Schizosaccharomyces pombe: one gene and its partners. The gene in region 4 interacts genetically with the main gene of each other region. Each region holds a gene or a part of one and is shown on either strand. Other genes may lie near its edges. The genes, in order: ssm4, naa35, pof5 and hmo1.

What was found.
Region 1: mutations in hmo1 (region 4) and ssm4 impair growth when combined (synthetic growth defect), as found in Schizosaccharomyces pombe (one large-scale study listed by BioGRID).
Region 2: mutations in hmo1 (region 4) and naa35 impair growth when combined (synthetic growth defect), as found in Schizosaccharomyces pombe (one large-scale study listed by BioGRID).
Region 3: mutations in hmo1 (region 4) and pof5 impair growth when combined (synthetic growth defect), as found in Schizosaccharomyces pombe (one large-scale study listed by BioGRID).

The regions. Positions count from the first base shown.
Region 1 is NC_003424.3:4,534,121-4,538,736, forward strand, and holds ssm4 (dynactin microtubule-binding subunit, p150-Glued Ssm4), read right to left. Parts: upstream 2,617-4,616; 5' UTR 2,567-2,616; coding exon 554-2,566; downstream 1-553. Other genes in the region: thioredoxin family protein But1, read right to left, coding at 1-128; RNA polymerase II-associated Paf1 complex subunit Tpr1, read right to left, coding at 3,015-4,616. UniProt on the Schizosaccharomyces pombe protein: Binds to nuclear microtubules with the effect of either modifying their structure or function. This then promotes meiotic nuclear division.
Region 2 is NC_003423.3:4,131,626-4,139,140, reverse strand, and holds naa35 (NatC N-acetyltransferase complex subunit Mak10), read right to left. Parts: upstream 5,483-7,515; 5' UTR 5,423-5,482; coding exon 3,728-5,422; intron 3,683-3,727; coding exon 3,251-3,682; 3' UTR 3,161-3,250; coding exon of another isoform or gene 614-3,160; 3' UTR 556-613; downstream 1-555. Other genes in the region: RNA-binding protein Prp24, read left to right, coding at 1-165, 290-555, 614-3,160; ARS-binding protein Abp2, read right to left, coding at 5,856-7,439. UniProt on the Schizosaccharomyces pombe protein: Component of the NatC N-terminal acetyltransferase.
Region 3 is NC_003424.3:2,731,827-2,735,700, reverse strand, and holds pof5 (F-box protein Pof5), read left to right. Parts: upstream 1-1,840; 5' UTR 1,841-2,130; coding exon 2,131-3,177; 3' UTR 3,178-3,328; downstream 3,329-3,874. Other genes in the region: nog2 (ribosome export GTPase), read left to right, coding at 1-369, 774-1,592; plasma membrane calcium ion import channel Cch1, read right to left, coding at 3,418-3,874.
Region 4 is NC_003423.3:1,587,317-1,591,407, reverse strand, and holds hmo1 (upstream binding transcription factor, RNA polymerase I specific, Hmo1), read right to left. Parts: upstream 2,124-4,091; 5' UTR 2,050-2,123; coding exon 2,020-2,049; intron 1,879-2,019; exon of another isoform or gene 1,828-1,878; coding exon 925-1,827; 3' UTR 501-924; downstream 1-500. Other genes in the region: DNA-directed RNA polymerase II complex large subunit Rpb1, read right to left, coding at 1-26, 66-138, 179-204, 240-254; ngg1 (SAGA complex subunit Ngg1/Ada3), read left to right, coding at 3,066-4,091.

The DNA of each region.
Region 1 (4,616 bases), on a different chromosome or scaffold from region 4:
CGCGTTTCTTCATCTTTCGTAGAGCTTCTTCTTTTTTTTGTAGATTTAACTCTTAAAGTACAATTTTTCTCGTGAACAGCATCACGAGTCGAAATGGGAAACTGGAAAAGGTTTTGGTCGATTTCCATTTTCTAACCCTTTCTCTGCAAGAAGGTGAAGAAACGCTTGATACGCTTTAATAGAAAAAAGGTAACAAAAAAAAATAATATCGCTACCGTGCAATGTGAAACAAGCAGTTTCCCACTCTTAAAGTGGTTGGTTTAGGGTAAGTAAACTTGTTTATTTACATGATTCTCACGTCGACAATTAATCTTCAAAGTCGATCTAATTGGCCAAAAGTACGTTAGTTTAATACAAACATGAACCAATCAAATACTCAACCCCATATTTCGTTAATGCATAACAGGTCACAAAAGAGGTTACAAGTCGATCTTAAACTTAAAGCAACACCATACAGTACATTAATGATAAATTCGTTAAAATATGGCAGTTAAGATTAGAAGCTAATTTTCGGCGGCTATTAATAAATTGAATTATATATCTCATTAAAAGATTAGCATTTTTTGGAAAGAATGTCTGTTAACTGACAATAATTAAATAGCTGTTGATTGTGATGAAAACTGGGTCGCTCGATATCTTTTTTCCAATTCAAGGCCAGCTGCTTTTCTACTGAAACGGGTTTAATATCTGCAACTAATTTTCTTATCTCCTTGCAGGCAAAGGTCAATGGGCTTGGAATTGAGTTTTCAGTATTAGAATCCCGTAAACTGTGTTTGAGCCAGTCTATATTTTCACTAGTATTGTCACCTTGTGGATATTTATCGGCCAGTTTCATCCTTGCGGTCTTTAGCTGTTCTCTTAAATTACAAAGATTTTTCTCATACTGTGTCTTTAATGTTTCAAATTCTTTCAATGTTCTAGAAGTGATTTCAGAGTTAACTTCATTCTCGTATGATTCAATTTGTTCTTTTAAACGTTGGTTCATTTCTGTAAGGTCGTCTTTCATACTACTTTCCTCCTCCACTTGTTTTGATAGTTTCAATTTTGCACTGTTTAACTCGTCTATTACAATATTTGCTTTCTCAAGTTTTGCATTTAATTGCAATAATTCCTCTTGAGAGTCTGATAAGCATAGTTTCAAATGTTTAACTTCTGTCAAAGCAGGTTGAGAAGATATTAGTAACTGAGATAGCCTTTGAGTTTCCTCTTGCACCTCATTTAACTTTTCCGATTGTCTTGCTTCTATTTCAGTGTTTAGCTGATTCAAAGTTTCCAAGTCTTGAATTTCTTCTGTTAGTTTTAATACTTTATGAGACAACAAAGCATTTTCCTCCAACAGTTGCCTTCTTGTCTTCACACCATCCACTGAAGAGTTGTTGGACTTTAAGTTTAATAATTCTTGATAAACTGTGCTATTCCAATGTACAAAATTTTCATTTGTTAATGAAAATTGTAAATCCAAACTTCCCGGTACAATATTTAAGTATCTATTCACGTTAGATATTGTCAATTTCTCAGAAAACGGGTTTTTAGGAATTTTTACAAGCTCAGTTATGTCGACCTGAACCTGTTTTAATTGCAAAACCTTAGAAACCTCTGAGACCCCAAGGAGACTAGATGGTGTAACTTGTGTAGTCCAGTTGTCCTGGCTTTTAGGAGTTTTGGAATTCAAACTTCGATCAGAGTACTTATAATTAGGAATCTTTCGAATTTGCAACTTTCGCTTTCTTAGATACTTTATTTCTTTCTGCATAGCCAAGAATTTTTTGAGAAACTTTTCACGCCTAAAATTCCGAGGTTTTTCAATACTGTTTTTACTGCGAAGGAATGTCAACTGAGGTTCAACTTTCTCTAATTCCTTATTTAATTTATCAATTTTTTCTTTTAAGGCGGTATTTTCACACATCAATTCATCCAAACGACCCTTCCTTAATTCTGACTTTAAATTCTCTTTTAAATAACTTCCCTTTGAATGAGGAGTAAATTTTTTTTCACATTCCTGCAAAACGTTGTCAACTTGCCATACAAATTCCTCTTCCATAAAACTACTATCGTCAAGCCCAGACAATTTGCTCGTATCTGAGTTTAACAAAGTAGTGTCAAAACTTGATAATTCTTCTGTTGAAAAATTTAGCTCATCTAGATTTTCAGTTGTAGATGAAGTATAAAACGTAGCTGTCTTTGTGGGAGTAGACGAATCAATAGGTGTAATGCACAATGGGCGTGCCAATGATCTTTCAAATTTTGAGGGCTCCCTACGTGATTTTTGTTTAATTGCTTTAGTTTTTTCCATAAAATTTGATATGTTTTCTGATCCTTTTTTCCTTGACTTGACGACACTTGGTCTTTTCATCACATTCGAAGAGCATGCGCGTACAAATATCCCTTTTCCTTTCTCACATGAAAAATATCGTTTCCCTTTTACGCTTCCATCATTTTTTCCTTTTCCATTTAACAATTCTACGCCTAACCAAATACCACTTTCAAAATCAGTACTACCGGCAAATCGAACTATTCCTAATTCTCCACGGATGAGGACTTCATCCCCGACGGACAAATAACTCATTTGAAAAAAAAGAAAGGCTCAGAAAGTACTTGATAAAATGGTTAGAAACTGTGAGATTAGTGTGGGGAGGGGGGAACAATGTTTGCAATACAGGCGCGCTAAAATCATCACTATGTTGCACAGTTGAGCATGTTAATCACCAATGTTCAAATCACTTTTAACACGCATGTTAATGTTATTTAAGTAGAATGAAACGATTCTTGGGTGAATAAACCTATTAGTTCTTTTTGAAAGGGTGGATAGAAAAAAACAAATCTAGTCTAAAAAGCGTAAATGAATGACAAGAGCTTTTGTATACAAAAAATTAATTTAAATGATATTATTACACGAGATCATAAATCATATATATGACAGACAACAAATAACTGAAGGGAGAAAGTTAATATGCCATTGAAATAAGAAAATTCTTATCTGAACGGCATAATTCAAACAGCAATGAGCATAATTATTATTCTTCATCCTCTTCAGAGAATAGATTTAACTCTTTATTGTCATCTTGATTGTCTGTGATATCGTTATCCTGCTTTTCTTCGATAGTACGAGAAACCTCCTCTTCTTGATTTCCCTCCGCGTCACTATCCTGGTCAAAAGTATACTCTTCGGATATGACTCTTCTATTAACACGACGTTTTTTAGTTTTATTTCTGGCATCGCTCAATGGTATTTCATCATCTTCGCTTACTCCGCTATCCGAGGATTCCTGTTTCGATTTAGATTTACGCTTTTTTCGATCTTTCTTTTTCTTCTTGCCTGACTGTTTTTCTTCGTCATCAGACAAGCTCATATCATCTTCAGAAGCCTTCTGCTGACTCTTTCTCCACTCCAAAACTTCTTCTTGCATCTTTTGTCGCTCTTCCTGAAGTTGCCTCTCACGTTCTTGCTTTTCCTTAAGTAAAGCTTCTTCCTCTGCCAATCTTCGAGCCTTCTCCTTTTCCCTTTGAATCCTAGCATCTTCAAGTTTGGCAGCAACACTCTTCTCATATTCGATTTGCGCTTGAATAGCGCGCTCCAATTGACGCTTAGTAGTATTTTTAGCCATCTTTGCACGTTGTTCAATACTGGTAGGAGAATAGGGTGGATGTTCGACAGACACCAGTTTGGTAAAAGTTTCAATCGATGCGTCAAGCTGTTGCATTGCAAAGTTCAGATCCTCAACAGTTCTACTGTTCTCGGGTTTCTGACGGATGAGCTCACATAGCTGGAATTGTACAAAGGCAACGTTAAATAAAAGGCTTGGATTCTCGGGATTTTTTTCTAAAGCTAATGTAGCATATCGCACGGATTCTTTTAAATAGTCGACGTTTTTGCTTTCGCGACCACGCTGTAGCCAAACTCGGCCTAAACAGCTCAATACACCATAAGTATCACTTTCTCCGGTACTAGAATACACGGTTTCAAATACCTCAATAGCACGACTGAACTGTTTGAGTTCTGCAAGGCAATTGCCAATGTTTATGAGTGTTGTAGCATCCTTAATTGCTTCACGAACCTTACTCAAAATAAGTAGAGCTTTAGAAAATTGCCTGTTTTGTGCTAATATAATGGCAATACCCTGGGCAGCGTGTGCGTTTTTTGGATCAAATTTAATAGCTTGATCATAAGACTGAATAGCTTTGATGTAAAGTTTTTGCCTTTTTAACTTTTCACGATCATTATGTACACGAAACTCTCTTGCCTGTCTCATATAGGCATTACCGAGTTGAACTAGGGAGTAAATGTCATCGTGCCAATGTCTAAGGGTCTGAGAGCAGTGTCTAACTTCAGGATCTTCTACTGGGCGACGCTTTTGTTTACTCAAATACCAACCAAAAAATGCTCGAACCTCTAAATTTTGAGAATCTGCGTTCATGATATGACGAATTTCTTTAAACGTTTCCTCGTTAGGATTGGATAACTGAAGTAAACATTTGCGAATACGGGCATCAATAAAAGATGGATGTTTTTCGAGAATCGAAACATACGCTTCACTAGCTACAGAAGTGTTACCCAATTCTTCTTCACAACGTGCAAGATTGTAATCCAAGAGCAAGCTTAATTCAGGATTGGCATC
Region 2 (7,515 bases), 2.5 Mb from region 4:
AAAAAAAGCCTTTGCTTCTGGATGAATTGACCAAATTTACGATTTTACATCCCTATAATTATGATAGTCATATTAAACTCATTGAAGAGTTAAAGCGTCTAGATAAAAAGAAGGAGTTGTCAGAGGCTAGAAAGACTTTTCAATCGATCTTTCCACTTTCAGAAGGTATGTCAATCAACAATCGTCTAGGTAAAGCGTGTTGAGGCGAATTCCATAGACTCGCAAAAATTATTCACTAATTACTTTAACTTTGTTAATCTTTTGACAAGCATTTATTAATGGTTTTTAGATTTGTGGGTAGATTACCTTTTAGATGAGTGCAAAAACTGTAGGACTTTAGACGACTATGTGAGGATAAAAACATTGTTTGATTTGGCAGTTCAAGATTATCTGTCAATCAAAATTTGGTGTATGTATCTTGAATTTACGCTAAACTTAATGGACACTTCTTCTTTTGAACAAGAACAGTCTGAATTAAACGGCGTTATTACTTTGACAGATGCCCATTCTCTTTTTGAACGTGCATACCAAACTTGCAAATTTCATTTTTCTAAAGTAAGGAACTAAAAATTTTCTTCATGATAAAAATGTATTTACTAATCAATGTTTACAGAGTCAATGTGTTTGGACGTTATATTTGGAATTTTTACAGACGTTCGGTGATGCTCTATTTGAGGGAGAAGAAGAGCAAGAAATTGTTTTTAAAAACAAGATATATGATTTTCATATTGATAGATTAAAACTTCCACATGAGCAGATTGAAGAAACGTTTACTTCTTTATCAACGTTTGTCACAAATAACTGGTCTCCTTCCGAATATGAGGATGTTATGGTGAAAAGCAATAAAGTGTATGAGACTACACTTAAAAGAAATGCAAAAATTTTTAATAAAGAACTATTGTTAAACAGCGCAAATCATTCTCTCGAAGCGTATATGGATTTAATTAATGATGAATCGCGACGCTCAACAGCTGAGTTACAATATATAACAACTCTCTATGAGCGTGCCATAGTTTTGTATCCCCTCATTCCGGAACTCTGGTTGCAATACACTGCCTGGCTTAGTAAAGTGGATTTTTCTTCTTCTCAAGCGTCCAGTGTAGCAGAACGAGCTACTCGTAACTGTTCATGGATTGGGCGTATTTGGTCCATTAAACTGACTTATATGACGCTTTCTGGAGCATCCACATCGGCTGTCTGTGAAGAGAAAGATCGATGTTTGAATTCAAATTTGCTCGTAAATTTTGACGAGGTTATTGATTTTTTTAGCGGATTTTTAAAAGCATGCCTATATTTGTCTTCTAATGAAGATAAGCCACAGGAATTTTTGAAACATCAAATTCATAAAGTCGAAGACTATTTGCGAAAAAATCATAAGGGATCAAAGGATGCAAGAATGCGCATTGAACTTTCAAAAATTTATTTATATTCAGAAATCTCTGATTTTGAAAGCGTAGAAAAGTGCTGGTCTGATATGTTTCATGATTTTCAAAATCAGGCATTATATTGGATTTCTCGATACATAAGTACGATGAAGTATAACCCAGAGCTTGCGGCTGAGACGTTAAAAAAAAGCCTTTACAAAAACGTTGATCAGCCTCAACTTCTGTTCCAATTTTATCAATCCATTATGGACCTTAATAATGACTGTTTCACAAACACATCACATTTATATGACGTTTTAAATGCACAGAGGATTAGCTTCAAACGTCAATTGGATTCTTTTGCTGAAGAAACGAAGCAGACTGTCGAAAACACCGAACCACTAAAAGTGCCTCAAGCTGATGATACAGCCGCCCTTTCAAAGAAAAGAAAACCTGGGCAAGAAGGTGATGTGTTCAAAAAGTCGAAACCTATTGAGCAACACAGGAATAGGGAAGAACTTACAGTTTTGGTTACCAATCTACCTTCCGATATAAGCGAAAATGAGTTGAAAATTTTTTTCAAAGATTGTGGTAATATTATACGCATTTTTATCCTCGAAGACAATCAAAAGGATGTTAAAGTGGCTCAGATTGAATTTTCTGAAACCAGTGAAGTTCTTGCTGCTAAAACAAGAGACCTTAAATCGATAAGGGGTCATGAAATTTCTGTTCAAATTCATGTAGACACGAACCTCTACGTTACCAATTTTCCTCCGACTTATGATGAATTAGATATAACCAAATTATTTTCTGCATATGGTAATGTGGTTGACGTCCGTTTTCCTAGTCTAAGGTATAACACGAACAGGCGTTTTTGTTATGTACAAATGAGAAAGCCCGATGAGGCACACAATGCCCTGCAGTTACATAAGAAGCTATTGGAAGAGAAGTATCCTATTCAAGTCTTTATATCAGACCCGCTTCGGCGAACTCCTAGAAGCGGTGCTGTCTATGAGGGTAGAGAACTCTACGTTACAAATATTGATTTTAAAGTAAATGAAAAAGACGTAGAAACATTTTTTAGGGATTATGGGCAGGTTGAGAGTGTTCGAATACCGAAAAGATTTAATCAACATAAAGGTTTTGGATATGTGGTAATGACTACAAATCAAGATGCTGAAAATGCACTTTCTGCTGCTGGAAAGCAATTGGGAAATAGAGTTTTGAACGTTGTTTTGTCGAAGCCTCGAGAATCTCTAGAGAAAACAAGGGTATCATCCAATGACAACCGAACCTTAGCTAAAAGCTTTGAGACTACTGAGTCAAATAAAATGTCAACGCCAAAAAAATCATTCGAACAAATCAAAAGCAAAAGCCTAGGAGTCACTAATGTCGACGGGACTGTTAACGAGGCTAGACTTAGAAGTTTATTCGAAAGCTACGGAAAGTTGTATAGAGTTGTTCTTCATCCTGAACATGAAGGTGCTGTAGTAGAGTTTTTGGATATTCATGATGCGGGAAAGGCATCCTTGGCATTAGAAGGACATGAAATTGGTGGCAGGTTACTACACATTACCACTGTCAATGAAATGATGCACAATGTCCCATCTAGTATGAATCATTCCGATTACAATACCTCTGCTACACGCCCACGGCGACTCGGAAGCCGAACGTTTCAAGGTTTCAATTCCAATCATTCCAATATAAATTCTAAGAAGGACGATTTAGACGATAAAGAAATGCAGATAGATGCACCTAAAAGCAACGATGATTTTAGGAAAATGTTTTTAAAATAGTCAGCAATAATTAGATTGAATGATTAAAAAAATATTGAAAACCTAACTTTTGATAATTTTGATTTATTAACATAAAAGACGAACAACACCTCATGTACGTGAAAGACTTGGGAGCGGATTTCCAGGTATTTCCACTATTTTTAGATTAGCACTATGATCTTTGGATAAGATTGCAAGTGAAACCAGATTTGTAATGCAGCAACATAATAAATTTTTTAAATAGTTGGTTTGCAAGAAATACGGGTTGATGAACTCATTCTGTTCAAAACCGGATTTTATAACATTAATAAGGCTATTCTTTGCAGCAGTGAATTTTTCATTAGATTTGATGATTAAATCATCCGTAGAGAAATTTTGAAGATTTTTGATTATGCAATCAGCTTCCGAACGAAGTAGTGGCTTGGGTTGACGCAAATTAATTAAAGGACGATAATGGGCCATGTAATATGACTCTTGAATTTTTTCATCAAGAGTAAATGAAGGAGTTTTAATGATATTCAACCGCATACAAAGCACCGTCAGCTAAAATCGTTAGAATAAAAAAGAAGCGATAAGCTTTATACATACTAGTAAATAGCCAGAATAGGTCTCCTTTATAGCATTCAATATTCGATGCAAATATGTAACAAAGGTTTTGGCCATAGGTGGGGTATTACGATCCTTTCCATGAAGCTCTAAATGAGTCTGGTGGATAGAAAAGACATGATCAAGCACAGCAAAAAAATGGGGCCATTGATATGGTTGGTGAAGTTTTTGTTCAAAGGAAGAAAGCAAGATATGCTCAATTGCATTTAGCTTAACATGGTAAATAAATGATGAAAACGGTCCATTACTTGGTAGGCTTTTTGCTACGAATTTCAAATCAAGCGCTTCAGCTTCAAAATGAGCAACGGTAATTTCAGGAAGTAAATTTATTAGATTACGGCGGAACCGACAGGGATTGTGGGAACAAATTCGGACAAGGTCAACCATGATATTAGTTGAATGAGCAATCAAAGACTCAACTAGCGGACCATAGGCTGATGAGATAGAGTTTTTTTCGATTACTGTACGGGTGTTAGGATTATAAAAATTTGAAGGAAGCCCAGAAAACTCACGAATACATTCTAACATATACGAAGTAGGTTGATCCCTTAGATTAACTGCATTGTTAGCAGTGATAAGTGCTTGAAGGGAGGAACGGACGTAAGGCTCTGGAGTACGATTCAATCTCGTAAAATCTAAACAAAACTGATATACTGCCAAGGAAGAAGCGAGAGTGTGGCTATTCAAAATCAAAAGCATATCATCAGCAAAATACAAAATTCGTTGATAAGAATGCTCAATGCCAGTAGGAGGAATATTCCTCACAGGAGCTGTAGCAACTAATTGGGCTTGGACGCGAAAATCCCAATATTGCTTTAATATGCTCTCCTTGATAGATGAATCAACTACCGAAACCGTGTTCTGAATCTCGGGTACCAAATTTTTGATCAGATGGAGAGCATCGATGGTGGTCTTAATATCACTCCTTTCATACACTCGTAAAATACCAATTCGAAGTTGTATTCTATTGAGAATTCCCTCGATAATTTGTCGTAACTCGGCAGAAAATTTTATAACCTCGGAAGCCAAATATTCGATGCTAGATTGCAAAAGATAATTGAGTTTTTCTATGGGGTAATTTTGAAGAAAGGACATGTGATATGAAAACGAACTAATGTCTTCCTCGTCATATAAATTTCCCATCAGAAATTCTCGATGAACAATATCGCAACATTTAATAACAGCCAAAACAAAAGGGAAAAGAACGATGTCAGTTGTATTCCTTCCGCTACCACTGGAGAAGCCACTGTCACCCACTTGTGAAATAGGCGACTTGCAAATGGAGAACACATGGGCACTACAGAGTAAGCTCTCTGATAAGGGGGATCCATAATGCCACTCTTTTTCCGCAGAGACAATTAAATCCATTAACGCTAATATTTCCAAGTAAGAGAGATCACGTGAAAAATCTACACGAAGTGGCTGATAATCAATCCCACTATCCATTTTCGGTTCCATAATTTCAAAGGCACTGATTGAATCCAATAATGTAAATTTTGGATCACATACTAGCTGTTCCTCTTTCAGAGATTTCGTGGCTTCAAAGTAAGACTTTGTACAGTCGACATATCCAGCGTTATCAACATAACCTTCGTTCCCTTTGGCCGGTTCCACATTTCCAATCTTCACATTTCCTTGCATAGAATTAAGCAATGATAGGGACTCTTTAACAGACATAAAATCGACAAAACACCCCTATATTGACCAATTTTCTATTGAACGTCTAGTTTATGGGTTAATGAAAAGTGTTACTCTGTAAGTCACAACAAAAATTCCACGCATAAAAATGCTTGTTCAATAACATTTTCGAGAGTAAATAAGATGGTAATTTTTTCAATAATAATAAAAACAATGATAAATCCAATTTGAAATTATTTTACTTGTATCTGCAAAGGTAAAAAACTATCTCGATGGTAACCCATCTCACCTAGCAGTAGAATATCTAAAAACTTTTTATAAAATAAAGAGAAGGAAAACAAAATAAATACTTTAAACAATTATGCTTTTTTGAACATGAGAATTTTGTAACTTTGAAATTGCACCAGTTCGTGGAACGTGCAGTCGCAAAGTGTACTGCATAAATAGATACATGCATGGAAGAATCGTGATTTCAGTCAAACACTGCATTCATAATCTTTCTCTTTAAATTTTCGAGTTCTAAATTTTTTTCTTTTAGGGCCGCATTCAGTTTGGCAATTTCTAATTTTAATGAGGAAACAGTGTCTAAAGGCTCCATTGAATTTGAATGAGATATAGGGACATCGGGAATCATCTGAGCTTCTGCTAATGAGTGCATACTCGGCGCTTTTTCCAAATTGAATGCATGACATATAGTAGCTGTTAATGGTCCTTGATGAACGGTCCAAATTAAGCGATCGGTACTGGCTTCAAGGATTTCGGAATGAGAAGAGACCAGGGCTAAAAGAGTACTTGAGATGAACTTAAAATTGGGAGTTTTGGGGATCGGCGAAGTTTCGGAGGGAGGAAGATATTGGGATATCGTTTCAGTATAGTGTGATAAAAGTTGAGAAACCGTTTCCATGGGCAGACGAGCAACATGTGAAAATGCAGAGCGAAGCATTGTATTTTGAGCATGCATCAACTTTTCAAATCTTTCATACCAAGAGATACTTAGCGTTAATGACACAGATGGTTCAGATCTCAGCCGTTTAATTTTGTTACGAGCTCCTGGCGGACGCCCGCGTTTACGAGGGACTCCTGCTTCATTTTCAACATTTTCCGTTTCTACTTGATTGGTTTGTCGAGACCAAGAATCATTCAACCCGTCACTTTCTTTGGGTGAAGAAACGTCTCGTAAATCATCAGGCCATTGATGCCAGTCAGGATCAATGGAATCAGCAACGCCAACTGCTTCAGCAGTTTGAAAAGCGTGATCATGGTTATGTGAATTGTTGGCTGCGGAAGGTAACTGATGGTCTTCGTCAGGTGGTTCAAACATATTTGGAGGATGTGGGAGAGAATGGTTTTGAGGAGTTGTCTGATGTGCTTGTTGAGAACCTCGTTCAGACATGTGATGGGACGCTCTCATTAAAAGGGATTGAGGGGTAGGGCATTCTTGGGAATCTGCATGAGGGTTTGTGACAAAGCTACCAAGATTGTGAGTGTTGTCGTCTAAACTAGCACTAGCTGAATGAATCCAGTTAGAAGGGGAGGTTGACGTGCGCATTGTGGAGATGGAGGAAGAGTTAACATCTGGATGAGACATTAAGCCTGCACGTAAAGATTTAATAACCAAATCATCAGTTACATTTACATTGCATCGAACTTGAGGTTGGGTTTCAGGAATTTCGAGATAATAAGGATTTGGTTTATTCAGGAGATAATCGAAAAAAGCATCAACATGTGTTTGACTCATCCACCGTTTTAAACGAACAACATACTGTTGTATTTTTTGAGTAGATTGTTCATCTTTTCGTTCCACACCAAGAAAACCCACCAGCTTGGACCAAGAGTTAATTATTTTTTGGTGGTATTGCCGGACAAGGAGAAATAAGACCCAAATCTCAAATTTTTGACCCTCTGATTTAGGAATCATATTGAATGCATTTGCTAATTGCCTCGTGTCAGCACCTGCATACCAGGGATTGCAGCAAAGACAGAATTGGCAGAACTTTTCAGTAATATTATCCGCGCTAACATCATGTCTAGATGGCAACAAGGAATAAAAGTTCATCCTTGATTAATTGCTTTAAAAAACAATAAAAAATGTAAAAAGACAGATAGATAAACGTTGGATTATTAAGTAAACA
Region 3 (3,874 bases), on a different chromosome or scaffold from region 4:
CCTAAATCTCAAAGAAAACGCCCCAAGATCTCATTCGATTCTGTGGCTGAATTGGCTAAAGAGTCTGACGAAAAACAGAACGCTTACGAAGAGAAAATTGAAGAGCGTATATTGGCTAATCCCGATGAGTCTGATGATGTTATGCTTGCTGCTCGTGATGCGATTTTTAGCAAAGGACAATCTAAACGTATTTGGAATGAGCTTTACAAAGTTATTGATTCTAGCGATGTTTTAATCCAAGTGCTTGATGCGCGTGATCCTGTAGGTACTCGTTGTGGAACCGTAGAGCGCTATTTAAGGAACGAAGCTTCTCATAAGCATATGATTTTGGTTTTGAACAAAGTTGATCTTGTTCCTACCTCTGTTGCTGTAAGTCATTTTTGTTTTTAAAATCTATTTGCATTGTTTTTGATACATGGAAAGATCAAGCTATATGCATCTGTTATGCATTAGTTCTATTTAATTGCTGGAATAGTATTCAGTATGCCCATTGTTAAGTCAAGACTCTTTTGTATGCTTTTCAGCATATTTCCCGTCAATTGAAGTCTGTTACAACTCTGGGAGAGTATACAAACTGTCTCTAAATTATATAGCCGTTCTGGCTATATCAGAGATAGTTGTATTGTCTTTGCTTTAATTTCGGTGTTTCAAGCAGTATATCGCTGCATATAGTTGTCACACTTACAAATGTAAAGACTTACATTGTTTTCATGTATCAACGAACAACCAGATATATCTTTATTAACCAATGTTCTTTTTTCTAACTTTTTTAGGCCGCCTGGGTTAAAATATTGGCTAAAGAGTACCCAACCATTGCTTTCCATGCATCTATAAATAATTCCTTTGGTAAAGGGTCCCTTATTCAGATTCTTCGTCAATTTGCGTCTTTACATTCTGACAAAAAACAAATTTCTGTTGGGTTAATTGGTTTTCCGAATGCCGGAAAATCAAGCATCATCAATACTTTAAGGAAGAAAAAAGTTTGTAATGTTGCTCCCATTCCTGGAGAAACGAAAGTTTGGCAATATGTTGCACTCATGAAACGAATTTTTTTAATCGACTGTCCTGGTATAGTCCCACCCAGTTCCAACGACTCTGATGCAGAGCTTTTATTGAAAGGTGTAGTCCGAGTTGAAAACGTGAGTAATCCAGAAGCATATATTCCTACTGTACTCAGTCGTTGTAAAGTGAAGCATCTTGAGAGAACATATGAAATATCTGGTTGGAATGATTCGACTGAATTTCTTGCTAAACTTGCGAAGAAGGGAGGCCGTTTGCTCAAAGGAGGTGAACCTGATGAAGCTTCGGTTGCTAAAATGGTATTGAATGATTTTATGCGCGGTAAAATCCCTTGGTTTATTGGACCTAAAGGCCTTTCCTCATCAAACGATGAAATCAATTCTTCGCAAAAAGTCGCTACTCAGCAAACTGAAGGTTCTGATCAGGATGGAGAAGAAGCAGAAGAAGAATGGCATGGAATTTCTGATGATGGTAAAGCTGATGAGTCTGAAAGTACTAAACCAGTAGCCGAGGGAAGTGCTTCTGAGTCTACAGATGAAAGTGCTGTTGATGATAATAAGAATAGGAGTTAATTGGGGGGTTTGGTTTAATTTATCATTTTTATGGTTGGTCTTTGTATATTAATAATAATATTGGTTTACTAAATATAATGTGATATGTATAAGAGTTGCTATTGTTCTATAGAATTCTACCTGATGTATTGTAAACGGTTTGTTAGATACAATACTTTTGCAAATTGTTCATCAATATCTTGCGTCAAATCTTTTTTTTTAATTTAAGCGTGGTACTGATTCTGCTTGTTCTTCTCACATGAAGTGTTACCATTTACCACCATTTTATGTATCGAGCAATGCAAATTACTAGTCATATAAGGTTATTTGGCAGTTACCGTTTAAATTATTTGTAAGTTTAGATATTTAAAAAAAAAAAAATTGTTTGAAGATACCAAGTTATCACTCAATTATTTGGCGTCGAAGACTGAGGTTTTGCTACTGCCTAACACCATTGTCAGTACATTAGGACAAGGTTATTGCCAAAATTTTAATCGAAAGCTTATACACTTAAATTAACTTTTGGGAGTAATGATATCTAGTTTGGCCTTACCGAAAGATGCAGTCGTTTCCTCCTGAAATATGGCATCACATATTCGATCATTTAATAAGTTTTGACAAGTTTGAAGCAAAAAATTTTGGGGGCTTGCTAAGGATTTGTCGTTCATCATATGTTGGAGGCCTACATGCTATTTATTATTTTCCAAAGCTTAATCCCCGTAATTATCATAAGTTTGTTGACACGATTAGCCGTAAACCTACAAGAAAATTAGTGCATCACATTAGTTTAAACAATGTTTCATATGCATCAAAAGCTTCTATAACATCCCGTCTATTGAGAAGGTGCGCTACGAATTTAGAAACATTTTCAGGTCCGCAGTCAGGACTTGGTTTTACGGCCTTAAGAGCATTCTCTCAATGCCAAAAATTAAAAAAGATAGACCTGTCTATCCTTTCTGAAAAAATTGATTTACAATATCTATTTGGGGGTATTCAGCATCTCAAGCATCTTGAGTATATCATATTACCCTATCTTTCAATTCCTGCTCCTATGTGTACTGAATGCTGGCCAAGCTCTCTTACCTTTGTGGGCTTTTCTGGTGGCCTTACTGATGACTTTTTGGCTGAGTCTGTTTTTCCCCCATCTTTAAAAAGTATAAACATCACACAATGTCCGCTATTGACCGATGCAGGCATTTTCTCTTTGCTTTCAAAAATAGGACCTAATTTGTCTTCAGTCTGTGTGCAATACCCAATGCCCGAATTGTCTCGGAGCGGCTTAGATTGCATTTTTCAGTTATGTCCCAACGCTACAACTATTAGCATTCCTGCTAATTACATTACCTCTACCGCCTTTGAGAGCATTCCTGAGTCAGGGCATAATGTTCGAAGCTTAGAAATTACTTATTCAGGGAGCTTATTGACCAACATCAGCCTGATCAAAGCTGATGATCTGGTGGGCGCTTTGGTCGATGGGAAGCTTCCCAATTTGCATCGATTACAATGGTCTATTCGTTTAGGATGGAGAGAGGAATCTCAGGATGTACAGGACTTATTAGAGCTAATTGATGATCAAGATGGTGAGGTATTTATAACAGTGAAATGAAGTTCATGATGTTAATGTTTTTGTTTTAAGTTGATGTTACGAGAGAAAATATTAATAAAATTACTTTCAAAAGTCTCTAGCAGACATATTCATTAATTTTAGAAATTGTTTTCATTAGGATTTTTGCTTTTTATATTTATATAATTTTTTCATCTTAAAACTACTAGTATTCATTTTATGATATTTTTTGGTAAACTTTCTATGTTGTTTGGGTTTGATTATAAAAGCCATACAGCCCATTTATCCTTTAAATGAATCCCGATCTAAATAATCATCTATACGGTCAGCTATGCGATTGATATCTTCTGTCGCTCCGCCAAATTGGAAATCGCTTTCAGCAGTTCCAAATCCTGCTTCGATGTCAAATGAAGTTCGGTCGTTATTTGAATGTAAAGAATGAGATCCACGAAGAAGGACTTCTTTGAGAGAAGGTGATCTTCGAGGTTCATTATCAGTTGGTACCTTCAAATGATCTTCCACGCTATGGTTATCATCACCTTCACCCGAAGCGATTGTCGGTACAGTCGATTCAACGATGGAGAAACTGCGATCACTAACTGAAGGTGTTCTAGTTGACATTAAAAGTTGCTCTGGATCAGCATTATGTTGGCGAAGGACTTCTTGAATGGGTGTTTCGGGTAAAATCTCAGAAACTTCACTCAAAAGTATGAAAGGATTTTCTAAAGCTTTCTTCTTT
Region 4 (4,091 bases):
CCACTTTCATCCATGGTCTCAGGAAACTAAAAACGATAAGTGATAAGAACAAAACAAACACTTACCTCAATCTTCGCAACGCTCATTGAACGAATTTCCTCCGGGGACAAGATTCCAAATTGAACCTCCTCCACCCGGCTAATACTGTTAGTAAACGGTACTACTTATAGAAACATACCGTAAGGGGACAGAAGAAGGTGAAAACTATGTATTAGTAATGGTAAATACGTTCAACATACCTGAATCCCGCTCATTCTACCTGAGTTGCAAAGATTAAGTCGTAGGTGGTGTCGGCGAAAATTTAACACAAGAGGACTACTTCACGGTAATCATGACCATAACGAGTTACGTTACACGGTGCAGAAAAGTCAGTATAGGTTTTTATTAGTGTACTAGCCACCCTGTGATAAACAAGATTTATAAATATCTAATAATAATGAAAGTTAACCATTATTTGAAACATGTGCATACAACAATCACCATTCTATAGTACTCCAAAATTTTTTAATGGAAATCATAACAATAAATTAAAAGTTCTCAAAATCATTAAGATACTTTTTATGGCGAAGATAAATTTATTCCTGTATACAGCAGAAAGATCATTGGAAGAATGTAAACTTAAACAAAAATTACCTGTTAGCTAATTATTTATTCTAAGGCTATAATAGATTTCAACCAATATAGATATTATGTGCCTGCCGTTAAACGTTTATATACAACTGCTGTGACCAAAAACGATTATTATGTATTATATAACAACCAGTATTTTTAACAAGCAATATTTACAGACATTAGCAACCTGAGTAATAATAGAGAGCACTCAAATCAGCAATACAAGCAAACACTTGTTGCTAATTAATCATTTCCTATAACTTTAATGTTCGGAACAAGGAAATACACAATTAATGAAATTATCAAGCAAACTCAATTAGCAACTTTGGCGGTAGGGGGAGTGGTAATGGAAGAAGACATCGAGCTTTTGCGACGTTTCTTTTTTTCCCTTTTCGCTGATGGCGGATTGGGGCTAGAAACGATTTTGTCAGGAGAGGGTTGAGGTTGAGAAACTGGTTCAACATTGCTTGTAGGTACTGTTGAACGGGTGTGCTTTCGCTTCGGTTTCTTAGCATGCTGTTCTTTAATGTCAGGAGTGGCTCTAGAAGCTTGAGCCAATGGTCTGGTTTCTGAAAAGTCTATCAAATCTTTTTTAGTGGGAGAGGATAAGTCTTCTGAAGGTTTAGTAGAAGTTTCCTCAGCCGTAACTCGACTATCAGCAACTGACGCATTTTCTTTAGAAGCATTATAAGCAGCCATTTCTTCTTCGTAGGCTTCTCGAAGTTTAGAAGCTTCTTCTTCGTAAGTTTTCCGATCATCTTCAGATAGCGAGCCCCACTTTTCATGCATCGCTTTATTCACCTCTTTAACATCGTTACTCTTCTCGCCCAAAGACTCCTTGATTTCCGATCGTTGGTTCTTCTGAAAGAGATTATAGGCTGATGGAGGGCGCTTTGGTTGTGCAGGATCCCTAGCCTTGCGCTTGTTTGGGGTCATGGAGGCTACAGCTTCCGACGTATCGACTGCGGAGGTTGCCTCAACAGGAGCTACTGCTGCAGGAGTAGCTTTCTTAGGTGAAGTTGCTTTTTTAGAAGGAGACTCAATTGCCATATTAATCTCTTTCTTCGCATTTGATGGATCAGTGACGGCTGGCTTAAAAGGTTTCGAAACCTCGGACTTCTCTCCTAATATCGAAGGAAGTGATTCTTCGATCTCACGGCATGCGGTTAAAGCTAACTGAAAAGCTTCCGCCAACCTTGTGAAAGAACCAGAAATCTAAGACGGCAATTTGTTAGATAAAAACCAAAAACCAAGCGGATAACTAAAGAAAATTTTGCATTTAATCATCAAACTTTTCAACCAATTAAAAAAGATTATTTTTAGTAAATACTTGATTTAAATCAATTTTTTGAATCATAAAACATTATGTTGGTTCAAAACACCAAAACTCTTTAAAATATCACATACCTTTTCCAGTTGGGTTGAGTTTTGAGCCATCGTACTACTTAAAAAATATTCAAAGTTTCTAATACAACTAAAGCTTCAATACGATGGCAAATACAGGAAATGGTGGCTGACCTACCGGGGTGATGGCGGGAATTTAAATCTTAGCGGTTATGACGGTGGGTGGTTGGTTAATGCTGGAAATGCGAAGCAGATGAAATTGCTTCAGTTAAACCCACCAGTTCGGTTGAGCTTTCTTCACATTTTATTATTATTACAGTTTATAGTTATTTAATATATGTGACAATTGTTATTGTTGAAATTACGATGGTTCAGTGAGATATTTCTTCATGTGATTCTGTTGAGTGATATAATGAAAATTACAAAAGACAATTGTAGTAAATTAAATATATAATAGGAAAATATGAGAAAATCTACAACCGAGAAAAATTTTTTTTTTTTTTTTTTTTTTTTTTCTTTTTCTAATCTCAATCCACTAAATTTGCTGAGACTTACAGTCAAATAATGTCCCATAAATGGAAAGAATAGCAATAAAAACATCCAAAATTTAAAAAAAAAAAATGATAAAACATTTTCTTGTAAATATTTACCTCTTAATTAAGTATAAACAAATCCTATTCCATTGACTCGTAGATCTATTTCATGATATCTTGTGAAGCTGCAACTCTGTTTATCTAGTTCTTGCGCTAGACCAATTGGTTTAGAAACTATTAAATTTAAGATAAATTTAATTTTAAACAAACCAAAGATCACTTATAGTGTTCAAAATACTTCGCAAAGCATATTGCTTTTGCGATGGATTCACTATGAATAAAATATATTGCTGTTTAATTTGGTTTGAGATATCATATTCGTAGCAATTCAACGCTGTTCTTGATTAATATTTCTGAGCACCGTTATAACAATGTAACAAGTGGTATACTAGACTTCGCTAAAAGTACGCCATCATCGAAATCCGGTATAAAAAATCACCACCTCAGTAATGAATTTTTTCGGGGGAGAGAGACATATGTAAATGTTGTATTGTTCACGATTTAAATTTTTTTGGGATGTCCTCCGAACAACAAAATGAAGCTGATTCGAAACCCGCGGTGATTCCTCAATGTTTTAAAATTGAAAATCAATACGAGACCTTTTCCCGTCTGAGTGAAACGTCAACTCCTGGTGTTGTACCGTCTGTGTCGACATTATGGCGGCTTCTGTTTGAGCTGCAAAAAATGATTGAGTGTGAACCGTCTTGTGTAGAATATTTTCGCCAGCGCAAAGAAGAGTTAGAGTCTCATGTCGATTCTGAAATAGAAACCTCAAAAGACGAATCGTCGGTTAATAAAGTGGAAGAAAAAGTAGAAGAATTTAAAGAAGACAACGTTGAACAAGAAATAAAGCAAAAGCGTTCTCTTTCCGAAAGTCCACAAGAGTCTATGCTAGAAAAAGTTTCCAAGAAGCCCAAAGTTTCAGAGGCCCATAATGAAGAAATCAGTCCCGAAAATGTGGAAACAATTGAGAATGAATTAGATTTACCGGTTAAGGGTAAAGATGAACAGACAACTGGGTTGGTATATAAAAACGCAAACGATCTTCTAACCGGTTCATTACTATCTTTCATTGTTGACGATTCCTTCTCTTATGAACAAAAAAAGAAGCTTTTATGTGTAGATTCCTTTCCAACCAGTGATGTACGATCGTTGGTGGCAGGAACTCCGGCGACTGATGATTTTTCTCACAACAAGCCAAATAACCAGATTTCAATATCAACCTTTTATTCGTCACTTGACCCATATTTTCGTGCTTTCAATGATGATGATATTGCTTTTTTAAAAAAAGGATTTGACGTTTCGTCTTCCTATAATATTCCTCCTTTGGGGGAACGCTATTACGATTTAACTCCGGAAGATGAAATGACCAACCTGTGTGCTAACTCAATTTACCAAAACCTGCAAACCTCTGCTCAAGGATCCCTTGAAGCTTTTAATGAGGCAGATACCGTCTCTGAGGAAGTTAGGTGTGGTCCACTCACTGAACGACTAATGGCTTCATTAATTCCTTGCTACACGCAGAATGATGAGGAGCAAAAA